3 linked regions of the Arabidopsis thaliana genome follow. The protein of the gene in region 2 interacts with the protein of the main gene of each other region in a pairwise test. Each region holds a gene or a part of one and is shown on either strand. Other genes may lie near its edges.

Region 1 (4,544 bases), on a different chromosome or scaffold from region 2:
CCTCCTCACGCGTCCGTGACTACGACCCTTTTGCCTTTATCTCCAAACGCAAACGCCGCGTCCACGGCGGTTATGACAACGAAGAAGATGCGGTGGAGGCAGCGGTCAAGAAAGTTTTTGAGTTGTTAGGAGAGAATGATAAGAAGACGGTGGCGACAGAATCGGCCAGAGAGTCGCCGCTGATAATGTCCCCGGCAGTGAGACAGCTCAGGGTGACGGATTCGCCGTTCCCGTTAGACGACGGTGGAGATCACGATCATGTGGTGGACAAAGCCGCAGAGGAGTTTATAAAGAAGTTTTATAAGAACCTTAAGCTGCAAAAGAAGATGACTAACGCATTAGAGTCGCCGTACCACGATGGATGGGTTAGATGATCCAAGCGTTTAGAGACCATCGCAAATTTAATCACTAGCGTTGGATCAACAGAACAAATAAGGGGACAATTGAGAATACATGTATAAATAATGGGGTTACAACTTTTCTTAGATATATGTTCCATTTGAGTGTTGAATACTTAAATTTGGCTTGTGTTTATTTCGTCGGTAGTTTTGATGTAAACATGGCTATGTATATATTTTCCTATCTTAATGAGAAGAATACTATATACACTAGGTGAATTTATTGATGATGAATTTATCAAATCAAAAAGTAGAGAAATGAATAAGATAAAATATCGCTCTCATTCTCTCAAGTTGTTCATCGACCAACCATAACGTTTCGTGCAATTTAATTCCGATCATATATATGGAGAATTGCAGGCACAGATAATTATTACGACATTATTCAACAATACGTCTTCCTCAAGTATTTAAACACGCACAACGTCTTTACTCGTACATCCAAAGACGTAGTCATTTTTTATATATACTGTAGTAGTCTAAAATTATTTTGGTGATCATTCGAGTATTTTGTTAGTCCAATGTTTATTTGACATACTAGTCAAGTCATGCTCTCGTAGTTAACACAAACACCAAAAGTTTCTGGGCTTCACCTTCACAACACTCGGCTTTACCTTCTCAACCACAGTCTTTACCGCCAATCGCTCATTTCCAGGCTGCTCTTCTATTTCTATAATTCTTCGTGTGAGCTTCTCCACTGAATCACCAACGACCACTTCAGTGCAAGTTGATTCTTGGGGTTGTTCCACTGCTTTGGATGGTATACATATAAGTATACAACATGCAACAACAACAACAAGCATTATAAAATAGAGAAAAGTATCTTAAAGCATAGATCATGAAAAAGATGATAGAGAAATATTCTTACAATGTTGAGGTTGTGTTTTAGGACAATTCTCGAGAACCCACAAATATCTCAAGACAATGGAGACAGAGAGAACAACTACGATGATCCATATACGTGATATAATCCATTCCCAAACCAAATACTGGATCAAATCCCAAACCCAAACCAAATACTGGATCAAATCCCAAACCAAATTCTGGATCAAATCCCAAACCCAAACCATGTCTTTCTTTTTCTTCTAAATTTTCTCAAAACATGAAAGGTTATAAAACATCTATCATTTATTTTCTCATGCTTGCCTTGTTAAATGCCCATTGATTATCTATCTTCTTCACCACTAGCACGCTTGAGCCTAATAAACCAAGTTTAACCGAACCAAATCAATTTTCTAAACCAGGATTACAAACCCGACGTCGTTAAAGTACTTTGACGAAAAACACCTCCGAAGAAACTCAAAATTACGATGGTATACCACTCAACTTTCGATAACTACTAGAATCCATCAATCACCACAGGAAACAATGCCACTTCTCCTCCGTCGATTTCCCTCTCCCTCCGTCGTCTCCTCCTTCTTCCTCCGTCGCTCAATGGCTTCCTCAACAATCTCCTCGGATATAATCACTCCATCAAACACCAAAATCGGATGGATCGGAACCGGAGTCATGGGCCGATCAATGTGTGGACACTTAATCAAAGCCGGTTACACAGTCACCGTCTTCAATCGAACCATCTCCAAAGCTCAAACTCTCATCGACATGGGTGCTAACGTCGCCGACTCACCAAACTCAGTCGCTGAACAATCCGACGTCGTTTTCACCATCGTTGGTTATCCTTCCGATGTCCGTCACGTCCTTCTCGATCCAAAGTCCGGAGCTTTATCTGGTCTCCGTCAAGGAGGTGTTCTCGTTGATATGACTACTTCTGAGCCTTCTTTAGCAGAGGAGATAGCTAAAGCTGCTTCCTTTAAGAATTGTTTCTCAATAGACGCTCCTGTCTCAGGTGGAGATTTAGGAGCTAAGAATGGGAAGCTATCTATATTCGCCGGAGGTGATGAAACCACCGTGAAACGTTTAGATCCGTTGTTTTCGTTAATGGGTAAAGTCAACTTCATGGGAACAAGTGGGAAAGGTCAATTTGCGAAATTGGCTAATCAGATAACTATTGCTTCGACTATGTTAGGACTTGTGGAAGGTTTGATTTATGCTCATAAAGCTGGACTTGATGTTAAGAAGTTTCTTGAAGCGATTTCTACTGGTGCTGCTGGTTCTAAGTCTATAGATTTGTATGGAGATAGGATTCTGAAGAGGGATTTTGATCCTGGTTTTTATGTGAATCATTTTGTGAAAGATTTAGGGATTTGTTTGAATGAATGTCAGAGGATGGGTTTGGCTTTGCCTGGTTTAGCTCTTGCTCAACAGCTTTACTTGTCTCTTAAGGCTCATGGTGAAGGTGATCTTGGTACTCAAGCTCTTCTCTTGGCTCTTGAACGTCTCAACAATGTCTCTGTTCAATCATCTGACTCTTGATTTAGGTTCTGTTCCACTTTCTGATAATGCATCTGTTGGAGATTTTATGTTGTTATGAAGTAAAGATTTGATCTTTTGTGTACCCATTTGTTGGTAAAACATGATTTGAAGTAAACTTTTGTGTACGCATATGAGATTCATACACAGTAGTTTTATGTGTACTCAATGATGAGGAAAAATGAAATCTTTATATACTCAGAACTCCAGTGAAGTGAGCTTTGAATTTGTAGTTTTTACAACATATCTGGTTATAATAAAATCCCAGAATCTGAAGAACTGAGTCTTTTATTTTTGAAGAACATGAAAACAAATATTTCTCCCAAGGAAACTTATTTGCTACAAAGAAAGTCTTGGGGAAGAGTAAAAACATGGAATGCTTTCTTTTATGACGCCTTAGAACTTGGCTTAGGCGTTTTCTGATAGCGAAAAGCTTTCAGTAAATTACCGAAAAATGGCGCTCTTTGGGTAGGTTTTAAGAGTCTTCAAGGTAGAGAGAGTGAGAAGCAGCAAGAAGCGCAGCTCCAATGCCTGATCCATCATTGGAGTGAGTGACTTCAACGCTTCCTGAAGCTTCATCTCCAAGCAACTCTTTTAGTGAGCTCTCCATACACTCACTAAACTGAGTGTAATGCTCAAACAATCCACCATCCATGGCTATAACCGATTTCTGCACCTCCTCGTCTTTAGTAGTATCTCTTCCCAGTTTCTTCAGAATACCATAGATTCCAGCAGCAGAGAGACGAGCTCCTCGGGTTGCTATGATGTTGCAGAGACTGATCACAACTTTTCTCATTTTCAGAGAAGTTGTAGGGACCTCCAATATATCCTTAATCTTGCTCCCAACAATCTTCAAGTCTGGAGAAGTGTCGTTGTGCATAGCCGACATGTGAGGAGTCCTGCAAATGATTGTTGAACTTTAGACTAAAGCCCTTCCTCAAAGGATGAAACTTAGTAAAGAGTACCTAATGATGAATGGTATTCTCAGCTTAGATGGGACTGTATCGCCAAAGAAAGCAGCATCTTCAGCCATCTTTAGAAGAACTCTTCGCAAAATCTCTCCCAAGTACATACCGGAAATGATTTTCTCAAGAATCTGCAAAATGAAATTCCACATAGAAACTCATTCTCGAGACACCTCGTAGGTATTGGCATTTTGTAACAACAAACCGGGGTTTAAAAACTCGTACCTGTTCGCCTGGATTCAGACTCTCGAAATCCAGCGTGTGATCAAACTCGGTTAATGGAAGATGTGATGACCTGAAGTTTCCCCATTCCATGTTTATAACCATTTCTCCTGATTTTGGAAGCAGACCATGCCATTTAGGGATCGCGGTTGCACGCTCAACATAGGCTGCGTTTGTCCCAGTGCCTAAAATAACAGCAGCAACAACATCCGGGTTATAGTATCTACCACCGGCTAGTGTTCCAACGGTATCATTAACCTGTAAAACGTCAAAAACAAATCAACAAACACATGACAAAAGGGATTCACTAGAGAGCATAAGGCGAAAGAGAACTCACAAGTGCTGCGATTCGCATGTCAAGACCAACTCTTTCCAGAGCCTTATTAAGTGCTCCAACAACATCTTGTCCAACCTATGCAACAGGTTAAACAAAGATTAAGGCAAAGGCGAAAACTAAACATTTTAAGTGAAATAGTTGAACGAAAATCGAGCTTAACTGCTTCTTCGATGGAAAAGCCTTTTGTCCATTTGATGAGACTACCAGAGGACAGAGAAGTCTGCTTAACAGGAAACGAGAAAGTGAAACCTA
Region 2 (6,144 bases):
ACAAATCGCTCTTCTTCGACTGCTGCCACTGCCACTGTGTCAGGCTCGGTTACTGCATTTTCTGATGAATCTGAAGTTTGTGCACGTGAGGATACAAATGCAAGTTCAGGTTTTGGTCAGGTGAAACTAGAGGATTGTAGCGATGAATATGTTCTCTTAGATAGTTCTCAGTGTATTAAAGAGGAGCTGAAAGGAAAAGAGGAAGTGAGGGAAGAACATAACTTGGCTGTTGGTTTTGGAATTGGACAGGACTCGAAAAGGGAGACTTTGGATGCTTGGTTGATGGGAAATGGCAATGAACAAGAACCATTGGAGTTTGGTGTGGATGAAACGTTTGATATTAATGAGCTATTGGGTATATTAAACGACAACAATGTGTCTGGTCAAGAGACAATGCAGTATCAAGTGGATAGACACCCAAATTTCAGTTACCAAACGCAGTTTCCAAATTCTAACTTGCTCGGGAGCCTCAACCCTATGGAGATTGCTCAACCAGGAGTTGATTATGGATGTCCTTATGTGCAGCCCAGTGATATGGAGAACTATGGTATTGATTTAGACCATCGCAGGTTCAATGATCTTGACATACAGGACTTGGATTTTGGAGGAGACAAAGATGTTCATGGATCTACATAAGATTTCAAATTTCGTTTGACTGGCCTAAGTTTGTGATTCTGCTCCGAGACGGTGTAGCTGTTACTAGCTAGAAGCTGCCCTTCTTTGAAGCTACTGATACTTTCTGATATTAATGGTTGTGAGACGTAGTACATGTAGTTAGGTAATGTAGGACAAGTTCAAATATGATTCCTTCTTTCTTTTTCTTGTGAATACATATGACATATGAAGAAGTTCAAACGTTGGGTTTAGAAAAAGTTTATAACATTCGGTACATATCAAAGTTTTGAACTTCGGATGCATATAAGCTATAAAGTTTTGATCTTTGAACTTTGGATACTCTCACATCTAATTTTCATCCTTAAGAATGGAGATGGAATAATGCGATGTTGCGTAGTGGTTTTATTGACTTGGCAAGTTTTGATTATTCAAGAAACTTGGCTTAGTTTAATGGAAATATCCAGTAGTGGAGTTTTTTGGTCTGCAGACTTTCCTCAGGTTGTCTGAGATTACATAAGCAATGAGGTATGAATAATAAAGTTATCATTAGAGAGTTATCTATCTGTATTTTCTACAAAAGGCAAATTGGGTATTTGAAAGTGCAAATGGGACATAGTTGTATATTATTTAAAAGGCTTTAACTATTCCATTCTGGTCTCCAAAATCGTTTTTCTTGCTCGAATCTTGAAGATCTTCTAAGCCTTTAGAAAAATGAAGAAATCAAGTTGGCAAACTGTTAATTAATTAAATCCAATGAATTGGTGGGTATTGCACCTCCACAAGTTCCCTTTGACAATGTGTCCTCTTCTCCGCAAGAATGAGATGCAACTATTTTGGACAATTTCTCCTTTTAATTACTTTTTGATCGATAATCTTCTCTTAATATCACGTTGTAATCTGATTCATTCAAATATCTATCGAAATTTAAGCTTATCTTTGATTTTTTCGATACTTATTTTTGAAATTTTAAGTGCATTTTGTTTATAATCATAGTTGGGGATTTAATAATTTTAGGTGGAATAATATTTTATGCATATTGGAGATTTATTTCTCGAGAAATATTCACAAACAAACAAACAACCGGCTTTTGCACAAAAATAATAATGACATGGAGTCGAGTTGTTTATACTAATGTTTGTCACTATCTCACCATTGGAATTTAAATCTTGGATATATAATACATGTTTTGACAAAAAAAAAAGTTGGCACAAATTATGTTGTTGTAACAAAATACGTCTGATGCATTGATTTGAGATTGACTCTTTGAACCCAAAAATGTATCACCGTAATATTAATACATTTTCCACATCAACTTGTAATCTATTTGTGTTCAGTAATATATTGGTGAGTGATTATGTCACCTAACCCGAAAGCTTATAAGATGAGCAATCTTTATATCGAGGATGGTGCAAAAAATAGCAAATTGTAACTTTTTGTCCTTCTTATTCTATAAAATGTCAGATATAATTAGTACTGCAAATTGCTCGCTTATTCGTATTAATCTTAACAACTAGGGCTACTTGGGAATATGTATAGTTGTTGGAAAAACTAATGCATTAGATAACCCTTTATTATTTTTCCCAATTGTGTTTTGTTATTATGCCCACCACTCAAATCCAAGAGTCCAATATATTCATATGATTTGAATATACGTTTGTGGAAGAAAACACACCCAAGAAATATTGTCCAATTCGTAAATTTCCCTGACTTTACGTTGGTTACTTTTAGCAAACTGCTTAGTTTGATTTTCTTCTAATTCGTCTTATTAATATTCTGTTCTTTTCTTTGTTGAAAAGGAATTTGATTAATACTTTTTTTAGTATCGTCGAAAGGCTCAAGTTGATTACAAGATGAGGAAAGATTATTATGATGGACCCATGACATGATATCTTCACCAACTTGGAACATTGAAAGTCCTATGGAGTTATTTTTGAAATTTTTACCTTAGTCAGAAGGTTCCAACAAAATTAAAAATCCACCAAAAACGCATCCAAGAATAGTACCAACTGAAAATAGATCGGCAATCACAAAGACAAAGGTCGGTCCTCCCAACCAATTTGTTTCAAGAATTTTTTCAAACCTATGCATAAATTAAGTATAGCTCTTAACCAATATATATAGCTTAACCAACTCGACACATAGTGATCATGTTCTTATAATCTTTAATAACGTTTTAGAGTTAGCTATATATATAGCCTCGAGACAGTAGAAGATTGAAATATCTATGCAAAACCTCAAAGATAATGTTCAATGTTTTTATATTCTGAATATTGATATAATCGGTGAGATAGAGATGAGTTCAGAATTTTTTTCTCGGTATCTTAAATGATATTGATTTCATTTTCTCAACTTTCATTCAAGAGTGTTTTTGGTTAAAACATAAAAACGTCCATTCTAATTATAGTAATGCTTGTGTGGTTACGACAACATGCTCATTCATTGTAATAAACTGGTGAAATATATAGCACCATTGACAAATAGACAGCCTCAGTAACAAAGCAAGGAAAAACAAAATTAAAATTTAATAACCGGTTATATTAAATATCGAGAACCAGTCCGTAGAATTTCATGGGAAACCGGGCCGGTCCTTGATATAAAGAAAGAGAGAGACGTTTCTTAACTGAAGCAGTACACAAACTCCAAACAAATCCCAAGTGGACAACCGAAGAACCCACACAAACTAACTCTCTTTCCTAATCCACATACTTGCATTTTTATATATAAACACTCTGTCCTTATATAGTTCTGTATATTACATGTAAATATCTCTCATTAATACAACCTCACGAAGAAAACCATTTGTTTTCTTAGAGAGAGCCAAGAATATTAAAAGAGATATAGAGAAAAGATTTGCTTTAATAATGCCAACGTCGATACAGTTTCAGAGATCCTCCACCGCCGCAGAAGCAGCCAACGCCACCGTAAGAAACTATCCCCACCACCATCAGAAACAGGTTCAAAAAGTGAGCCTCACGCGCGGGATGGCTGATGTGCCGGAGCACGTGGAGCTTTCCCACACGCACGTGGTTGGTCCTTCTCAGTGCTTCTCCGTCGTGGTACAAGACGTGGAGGCTCCGGTTTCCACAGTCTGGTCGATCCTAAGCCGCTTCGAACACCCTCAAGCGTACAAACACTTCGTGAAAAGCTGCCACGTGGTTATCGGAGACGGTCGAGAGGTTGGGTCGGTGAGAGAGGTCAGAGTCGTCTCTGGTCTCCCCGCGGCGTTTAGCTTAGAGCGGCTTGAGATCATGGACGATGATCGCCACGTCATCAGTTTCAGCGTCGTTGGTGGGGACCACAGACTCATGAACTACAAGTCGGTGACGACGGTGCATGAGTCGGAGGAGGACTCCGACGGCAAGAAGAGGACACGTGTCGTTGAGTCATACGTCGTTGACGTACCGGCGGGTAACGATAAGGAAGAGACTTGTAGCTTTGCTGATACTATAGTACGGTGCAACTTGCAATCGCTGGCTAAACTCGCCGAGAACACTTCTAAATTCTCGTAATTACATTTTTTCAATCTTTTTATTTTTATTTTATTTTCTATATTTCTCTCTTTCAAAATTTATCTTTTATTTTTGGGATTCTCGAGGTGGTTTTGGATTTTAAGATTTAAGTATTTAACTATCGTCGGGGATTTTTCGAAACTAAAACAAAAAACAAGAATTATATCAAACAAGATGGTTTTGGTTTTTCGAAGTTAGGGTTTTTAGGGTCTGTTAAATGTATGTCTCAACGATACTTTGGTTTTACCCTTAAAACCATTTCTTCTTGTACAGCTCTCGTAGCTTTATTATATAAACATTGATTGTTTAGTTATTTTCATAATCTTCTTCTTGCGCCGTATTTTACATATTTATTATTTGTCTTTTAATTTAGTTAATCATGAAACAATATAGACTATATAGTGATTCAGCTATAATGCATGGGGTATATTGTTACGATATTTCCGATATTATTATGTCTAATTTCATTAATTTTGATAACCTACATAATAATGTATTACACAAACAATTTGATTAATATAATCATTGGCATATCTACTATATATGAAGAGATCTGAACAATTGTGGGCAATCAGAAAACCCATACATGTGCTGATTGAGATGATTCGTTTTCCTTTATGTTAAGAGAAGAACAAAGTAAAACTATACATCATTTGAATTTTATTGAAATGTATAAACAGTAGAATACTACTTGGTGTTTTAAATGAATTTGCTCACCAGCTATATAATCAAAGCGTTCAATCCTAAAAGCAAAGATGGAATAATATCAATTAGTGATAATTAAACTTGAACCAAGGCGTAATGCATGTATTGAGTTATGTGATATAATCTTAAGAATTTTCTTTATGGCATATATAATGCTAGGCCAAAATAAATGGTGTCAGGTAATACAGCATTATATCTTTAATTCCCTAATTTGGAAACGTAAAATTTTCAAATTATTTGTCATTTCATCAACAAACTTTACATAAATACGTAAATGTTTTGTTTTTACTCACCAAAAAAATAAATCAAAATTATTTACATACCAAAATGATAAAATTTCTTAGTTCCTTTTATAGTTTTGGGATGCGTGAACCGTTTCAATAATTCAAATGTCAAAATTATTACTTTTTCGGATTTCCTTGTCCTATATATTAGTTCATGAATAAAAATGTACATTTGAAAAATCAAATAACTTTATCTAGTTATATAAATATAAAGAATCCAATGAACAAGATGAAAAGACATTCAAAGTTTGCAAAAGCAAAATGTGTTTAGTTACTTTATAATTAAGTAGTAAGATTTCGAGACTTGTGAACCAAATTCAAAATTGAATACATATATAGACATTCATGTATATGATCGTACGTAAAATGCAAGTTGGGGTGTAATAAAATCCAACTTGTTATAGAAAAAAAACAAAGCATGCAAGTTGCAAAGGAAAAAAAAAAAAGTCGCTACTATTCTTTGACACCTTTAAAAAATATTCCATAAATAAAAAAAAGGTTAAAGAAAAATCAAATTGATTACATAAATGATTATTAATTTATTATCATAATGAGTACGAAATATATATGTAAACATTGTCGTGGAAGGAAGGAATTGCAAGTTGATATGCAAGTTGGCAAGGAGGCTATTAATGTTTTCCCTCTTTTGGTCGTTTGTATAATGACATTTAAACCCACCCACCTTTCTTATTTTCTTTTCTGTCTTCCTATTTCTGATCACTATTATTATATTACTTATATTTTATTTCACATTTTTTTTAATTTTATAAACCCATAAGAAATTTTTTTCCCTTTTATTTACATATGAAAACATATGTATTCCCGTGTCAAAAAAATGAAAATTCTGACCAATCCAGAGAGATACGATTTATGGGGTTTGTATATTCCAATGTGGCATGTTGCATATAAACTACTACTATTTAACTAGTTTCTTAATAATTCAAATCCAAATAAACATGCATAAAAGATTGTGATAACGTACATAGCTGTGATATAATATGCATTACTTTTAAAAAGCAACGGAGATAGTT
Region 3 (4,866 bases), on a different chromosome or scaffold from region 2:
GTGTGTGTGGATAGAGTAAGATTGAAAATGAATAAAGAAGAGAATTAAACGAGAAGATGGTCAAAAAAGGGTAACTACTGTTGAGTTATGCCTATCAGTGTTTGGTTTCAATTGCCTTGGCTTCGCAGTACGGTTGGTGAAGGATTTTGTGGTACTATTTTTTTTTCTGCATCTTTTTTGTTTTGCTTCTCACGTGTACGGCACTATTTGCATTGTAGTTACGGATATTATAATAAATTTTTTTGAAGAAAATTTTAAATTAGAAAATTACTTATTTTGTCAACAATGAGAAAAAAAAAAAAAAAAAAAACAAAAAAAACTGGATACATAATTTGGATACGGTTGAAAACAAAGAAACAAAATTTTTTGTTACGGTTTAGTTTACTTTAGTTTCGGTAGAGAAGAAATGGTTTCGTAATTCGTAGAAATAAAAATGGTACAGTATAATAATTGAAACAACATTTCTTTTTTGATTTCATCAGTTTACTAACTCATGAATTATCATTCTTGGATCGAGAGTTACATTCTTCTAAACTGTCATTGAAATCATTAAAAAACCATTACTATAATTTGTCTACAATAAAAACTAAACCTCAAGGTAGATCACACTTAAACTTGTCTCCTTATTAATACTCTTAATTAGGCTATGGTTTCGAAATAGAACTTAAAAAAGAACTTGATTATTTCACTAATATCAAGATGAACATCTCTTGTTAATCTTAACCTTAAAGCCATGCTTCATTTTAAGAATTAAACTAGTATCTGGCTCAAACTTCTGCCCGTTGGCAACCTTGATGTCATAGTTTTGTAATATCTCCACCGCCACAATCTTCATTTGAACCATAGCTCTTTGTTTACCATGGCATATTCTCGACCGGCATTGAATGCTAACTCTCCGGTCTCGGAAATCCATCTCTCTGGCTTGAATTCTAATGCATCTTCTCCCCATACAGCTCTCATCCTACCCACCACCCCATAAATAAAGACCAAAATCTTGTTTAAGTACATCTTTGTTTAAGTACTCCATTGGATCACAAGATGGTCTCTCTTGGCCACTACAACTTCTTGGTAGATTCATGTCAATCTCTTGGCGAATCTTGGTCACCACTAGAGGGTTTTCGGACAAAAACCAAAAGAACCAAGTGAGAGCAGAGGCAGTGGTATCTCTCCCAGCTAGAAGTAAAGCAAAGACATTGTCTCTTAAGAATTTATCATTGATAGGATCCAAGAGCTGGTACTGGGTTGTATCAAGCTTTATGTGAGATGTCAAAAGATTTGCATGACTATCTCTAATGAAATGATCATTATTATTCACTTGTGATCTTTTTACCTCTTCTCTCCTGGCTGATATGTATTTCCCACACACTCGATCAAAAATGGCACCAGCTTCTATCATCTTCTTCTCCATCCCAACTCCGATCCAGCTTTGTAGCTTCCACGAGAATCTAGGTTTAACGTGCCTATACATTATTCCTTCTACTATTGTGTCGAGAGCTTTAGCAGACTCAACCTCTGGCGTTTTAGCAGACTCATTTTTAATCTCATTTTGATTTATTTTTTAAAAATGATAGGATAGTTCCATTAATTACCAAAATGTTTGACAGAAACATAAAATTGAAATTGTGCTCCCAATTCTTTTACAAATCTTACTTAACCTAAATCAGGAATCAAACTTACTAAAAACTAAAAAGAAACTAGAACTAAGAGTTAAAATTCCTTAAGTCTCATGACATGAAGACGGAGATGAGTTCCCTGAGCCACCCAAAAACTGAAGCTCTCTCTTATCATAAATCTCCAACGAAAAATCCCTCAGCGGTTGCGTCGTTCCGCCACCGCTCGTTTCCATCTCCGCCTCAGCGTCTGAAGCGTTTGAGACATAACTAGACACCGGTCTAGCACCAACATTCAGAAACGGAGCTGTAGCAACGGTAGGAATAGCCCACATTTGGCCCATTTGATCCGGCCCACCAGTAACAAACGCAGTACCCATACCCATAGGCCAAAACGGCACAAACCCCTGTGTATTAACGTTCAGGATATTAACGCCGTAGTTTGACGCCGTTATCGGAGCTAACCCAGAAGTAACGGAGCTATGACAGCTGTCATTAACGTCTACGAAATCGCTCGTACAGTTTCTCTTCCTCCGTTTCTTTATTAGGTCACCGTCACCGTCACGGCCGCCGTCATTCAACACTGGAGAGCTCGTCGGGATTTTTAAAGTTCCGTTAACCGATACAGCAATAGCCGGTACAGTTCCGGTTCCGGTTGCTTCAATTATCGCCGGTTCAGCTCGTTCCAATAACCACCGTATCGTTTCTCCGTCGGATTTGTGACCAAGTTCACGGGTCAATTGAAAGACCCGAGCAGCGCAACCCGCCGGCATTCGGATCCTCCGACCTCGTCCTTCTACTTTCGTGTGACGGTCTTTAGAAGTCGGTCTCTTCGGAGCCGGTTTAGTCTTCACCGGCTGCAAATACCCGTCTTCTTGTTTCATGAGCATCATACCCGGTTTGGTTTTCGGATTCGGGTCAGACAGATGGGTCATGGTTGTTACTTGGTCAATCACTTGTATCGCGTTGCCTTCGTGATTCGATTCCATTTACCACAAAACCCTAGAATATCTGAATGTCACAAAACTTCAAAATCAGCCGAAGAATTGATTCAAGTAGGATATAGTCAAAATGTTTAGTTTTTACTGATTCTTTTGACGAAAAATGTTATCTGTTTGAATTTGACAGATTGAAAACTAAAGAACAGTGGATAAAAAAAAGTGAGGAAACCCTACAAAGGTAGAAAAATAAAATTAAAAAACCACAGCTAACCTTATCCTCTGCACGAAGAACCCTACAAAGATGGAAGAAGGGGCCCTCAAGATCATCGTTTTTATTTTTATATAGTCCCATTACAAATCAACGGTCTAGATCACATACTTCATATGGGCCTGTTTTAGCTAACTAATGGGCCTTGGCCTCGACCACATCACAAGAGTCATGTTGTGGAGCTAATTTTTTTTTTTTTATTGATAGTTGTACAGTTGAACCGGTTTCCATTTAAGAAGTGAACCAAACCAACCGAATTGGACAAAACCGAGCCATAACTAGGGCAATACAAAACTTAGCTATCTCAAAACTGAGTACTATTGACAAGTGCAGCTTATGTTCATTTCTGAGTATTATTGACAAGTAAAACCATTATTGTCTTGGTCTGAATTCTATCACCAAAACGACTAGTCTCTATTTTGATAGCATGTTACTGTTTTCGTAAAAACCAATTTGGTGTACCTAATCCCTTGTTGATTTTGTTGTATACAAGGTTGAAAAACTTTGGTCCCCACGAGAAGATTGGAACTGCGTAGTAAAACAAATAGTGCATGATTTACAACACCAAGATTCCAAACTACTCGGTAAATATTCTTGCAAGCTTAGGGTAAGCTTTATAAGAAATGATGGCAACAAAAAATGTCAATTACTAAGCATGACTCTCGAAGACTAGAGTATGAAGCTTGGAAATAAGGTTTCACCCGCCAAAAAGAAAACAATTCACTATTCATTATTTAATACTATATTTATAAGTTAAAATTATCAACATTGGTCATTTGTAATAATCTTTTGATGTTGACTACTAAAAAAATAGATTAAATAAAAGTATTATTCCATATTTTTATAATAGATTGATGTTTGGGATTTTTTCACATATTAAAAAAAAAACATTATCTAATCATTAACATTTTTTATATTAAATATTTTTAAGTTTAATTATGAGCTAATAAAATTAAAAGTTTAATTATTTTCAATCATTGCATTTTGAAATTTAGTATTTATCATACTAAAAATAAAAATAAAAATAACATCTAGAAAATCATTTGTGCAATAAATTTTATAAAATCAAAATTTTTAACAACCGAAGAAATATATAGCTGATATGGGTTTATTTTAGTTATTGGGCATTCATTTGCCCCGTTCATATCTACTTGACATCTAGGAATGAGCGAATTGTAAATAAATATATATGAGCTACCTTTTTTCGAAAGTTAATTATTTTTTTTTGAATCAGTAGCAAAATCAAAATTAGTGGGAGATAGAGGTGCTACTTGGACGCTAATGTTGACGCTGACTTTGTACTGAACAAAAATCAAAATTTTCATTGATACTTGAACCGGTTCTGATGTAAGAAGTGAACCAAAGCAAACCGAGCCAAAACTAGGCTATATGTTAACTAGACTACTTCACGGTTCTTATGTTCAAAAACATGAACTCCACATCTCACACTCTCTTTATCAACAAACTCTGAATCCAAAAACCGAGCAACGAATATCCAAAGTTTATAAACATCTTCGAAATTAGCAAGAAACCCTAACGCAGCAGTGAGAACAGAGATCCTTGGTTCGTCGACGTCTCTGTTTCTTTTCTTCTCAAAAACTCTATCTTTCACGCCTTCGTAGTCTTCTTGGAACAAGATGTTCTTCAAGAAACTTTTACCGAGTGAGATGTTGCTGCATTCGGCTAACTTCTGCACGATAAAAGGTTCGATTTTTTCGCCTTTATGGTTGAATAGATTGAACGCAACCGCTGGTCCTCGATTGAAATTAACTTTCGGACCGTAGATTTTAACTAGACGACTAGTTGTTGAATGTTTGAGTTTGTAGAGAGCACTTACCAACCAATTTATCAAGCATCTTGATCTGTTCCCTGTTGCTACCAACCCTAGTGAATCTACATGATCTAGGCCTTTGTATTCGACACTAGAGCTAAAGCTATATGTTTCTTCCGAATCTGTTTGTGTTCGGTTGATTTCCAACGCGTGTAATGAAATCGGATTGTCGGTAGGTACGAGGTTAATCATACCTGGACCAGTGGAAGATTCAAG

Evidence for each region. The genes of interacting proteins can lie anywhere in the genome.
Region 1: the proteins of PYL6 (region 2) and AT4G29120 interact in binary tests that used the Arabidopsis thaliana proteins (3 or more experiments, as listed by UniProt).
Region 3: the proteins of PYL6 (region 2) and AT5G51910 interact in binary tests that used the Arabidopsis thaliana proteins (3 or more experiments, as listed by UniProt).

The regions. Positions count from the first base shown.
Region 1 is NC_003075.7:14,349,095-14,353,638, forward strand, and holds AT4G29120 (6-phosphogluconate dehydrogenase family protein), read left to right. Parts: upstream 1-1,763; 5' UTR 1,764-1,766; coding exon 1,767-2,771; 3' UTR 2,772-2,965; downstream 2,966-4,544. Other genes in the region: AT4G29110 (cotton fiber protein), read left to right, coding at 1-374; HXK1 (hexokinase 1), read right to left, coding at 3,244-3,667, 3,734-3,864, 3,959-4,213, 4,293-4,367, 4,453-4,544.
Region 2 is NC_003071.7:16,843,157-16,849,300, reverse strand, and holds PYL6 (PYR1-like 6), read left to right. Parts: upstream 1-3,106; 5' UTR 3,107-3,476; coding exon 3,477-4,124; 3' UTR 4,125-4,713; downstream 4,714-6,144. Other genes in the region: DREB2C (Integrase-type DNA-binding superfamily protein), read left to right, coding at 1-636. UniProt on the Arabidopsis thaliana protein: Receptor for abscisic acid (ABA) required for ABA-mediated responses such as stomatal closure and germination inhibition.
Region 3 is NC_003076.8:21,092,987-21,097,852, forward strand, and holds AT5G51910 (TCP family transcription factor), read right to left. Parts: upstream 2,906-4,866; 5' UTR 2,823-2,905; intron 2,717-2,822; exon of another isoform or gene 2,622-2,716; 5' UTR 2,600-2,621; coding exon 1,718-2,599; 3' UTR 1,580-1,717; downstream 1-1,579. Other genes in the region: AT5G51900 (Cytochrome P450 family protein), read right to left, coding at 695-961, 1,007-1,468; AT5G51920 (Pyridoxal phosphate (PLP)-dependent transferases superfamily protein), read right to left, coding at 4,216-4,866.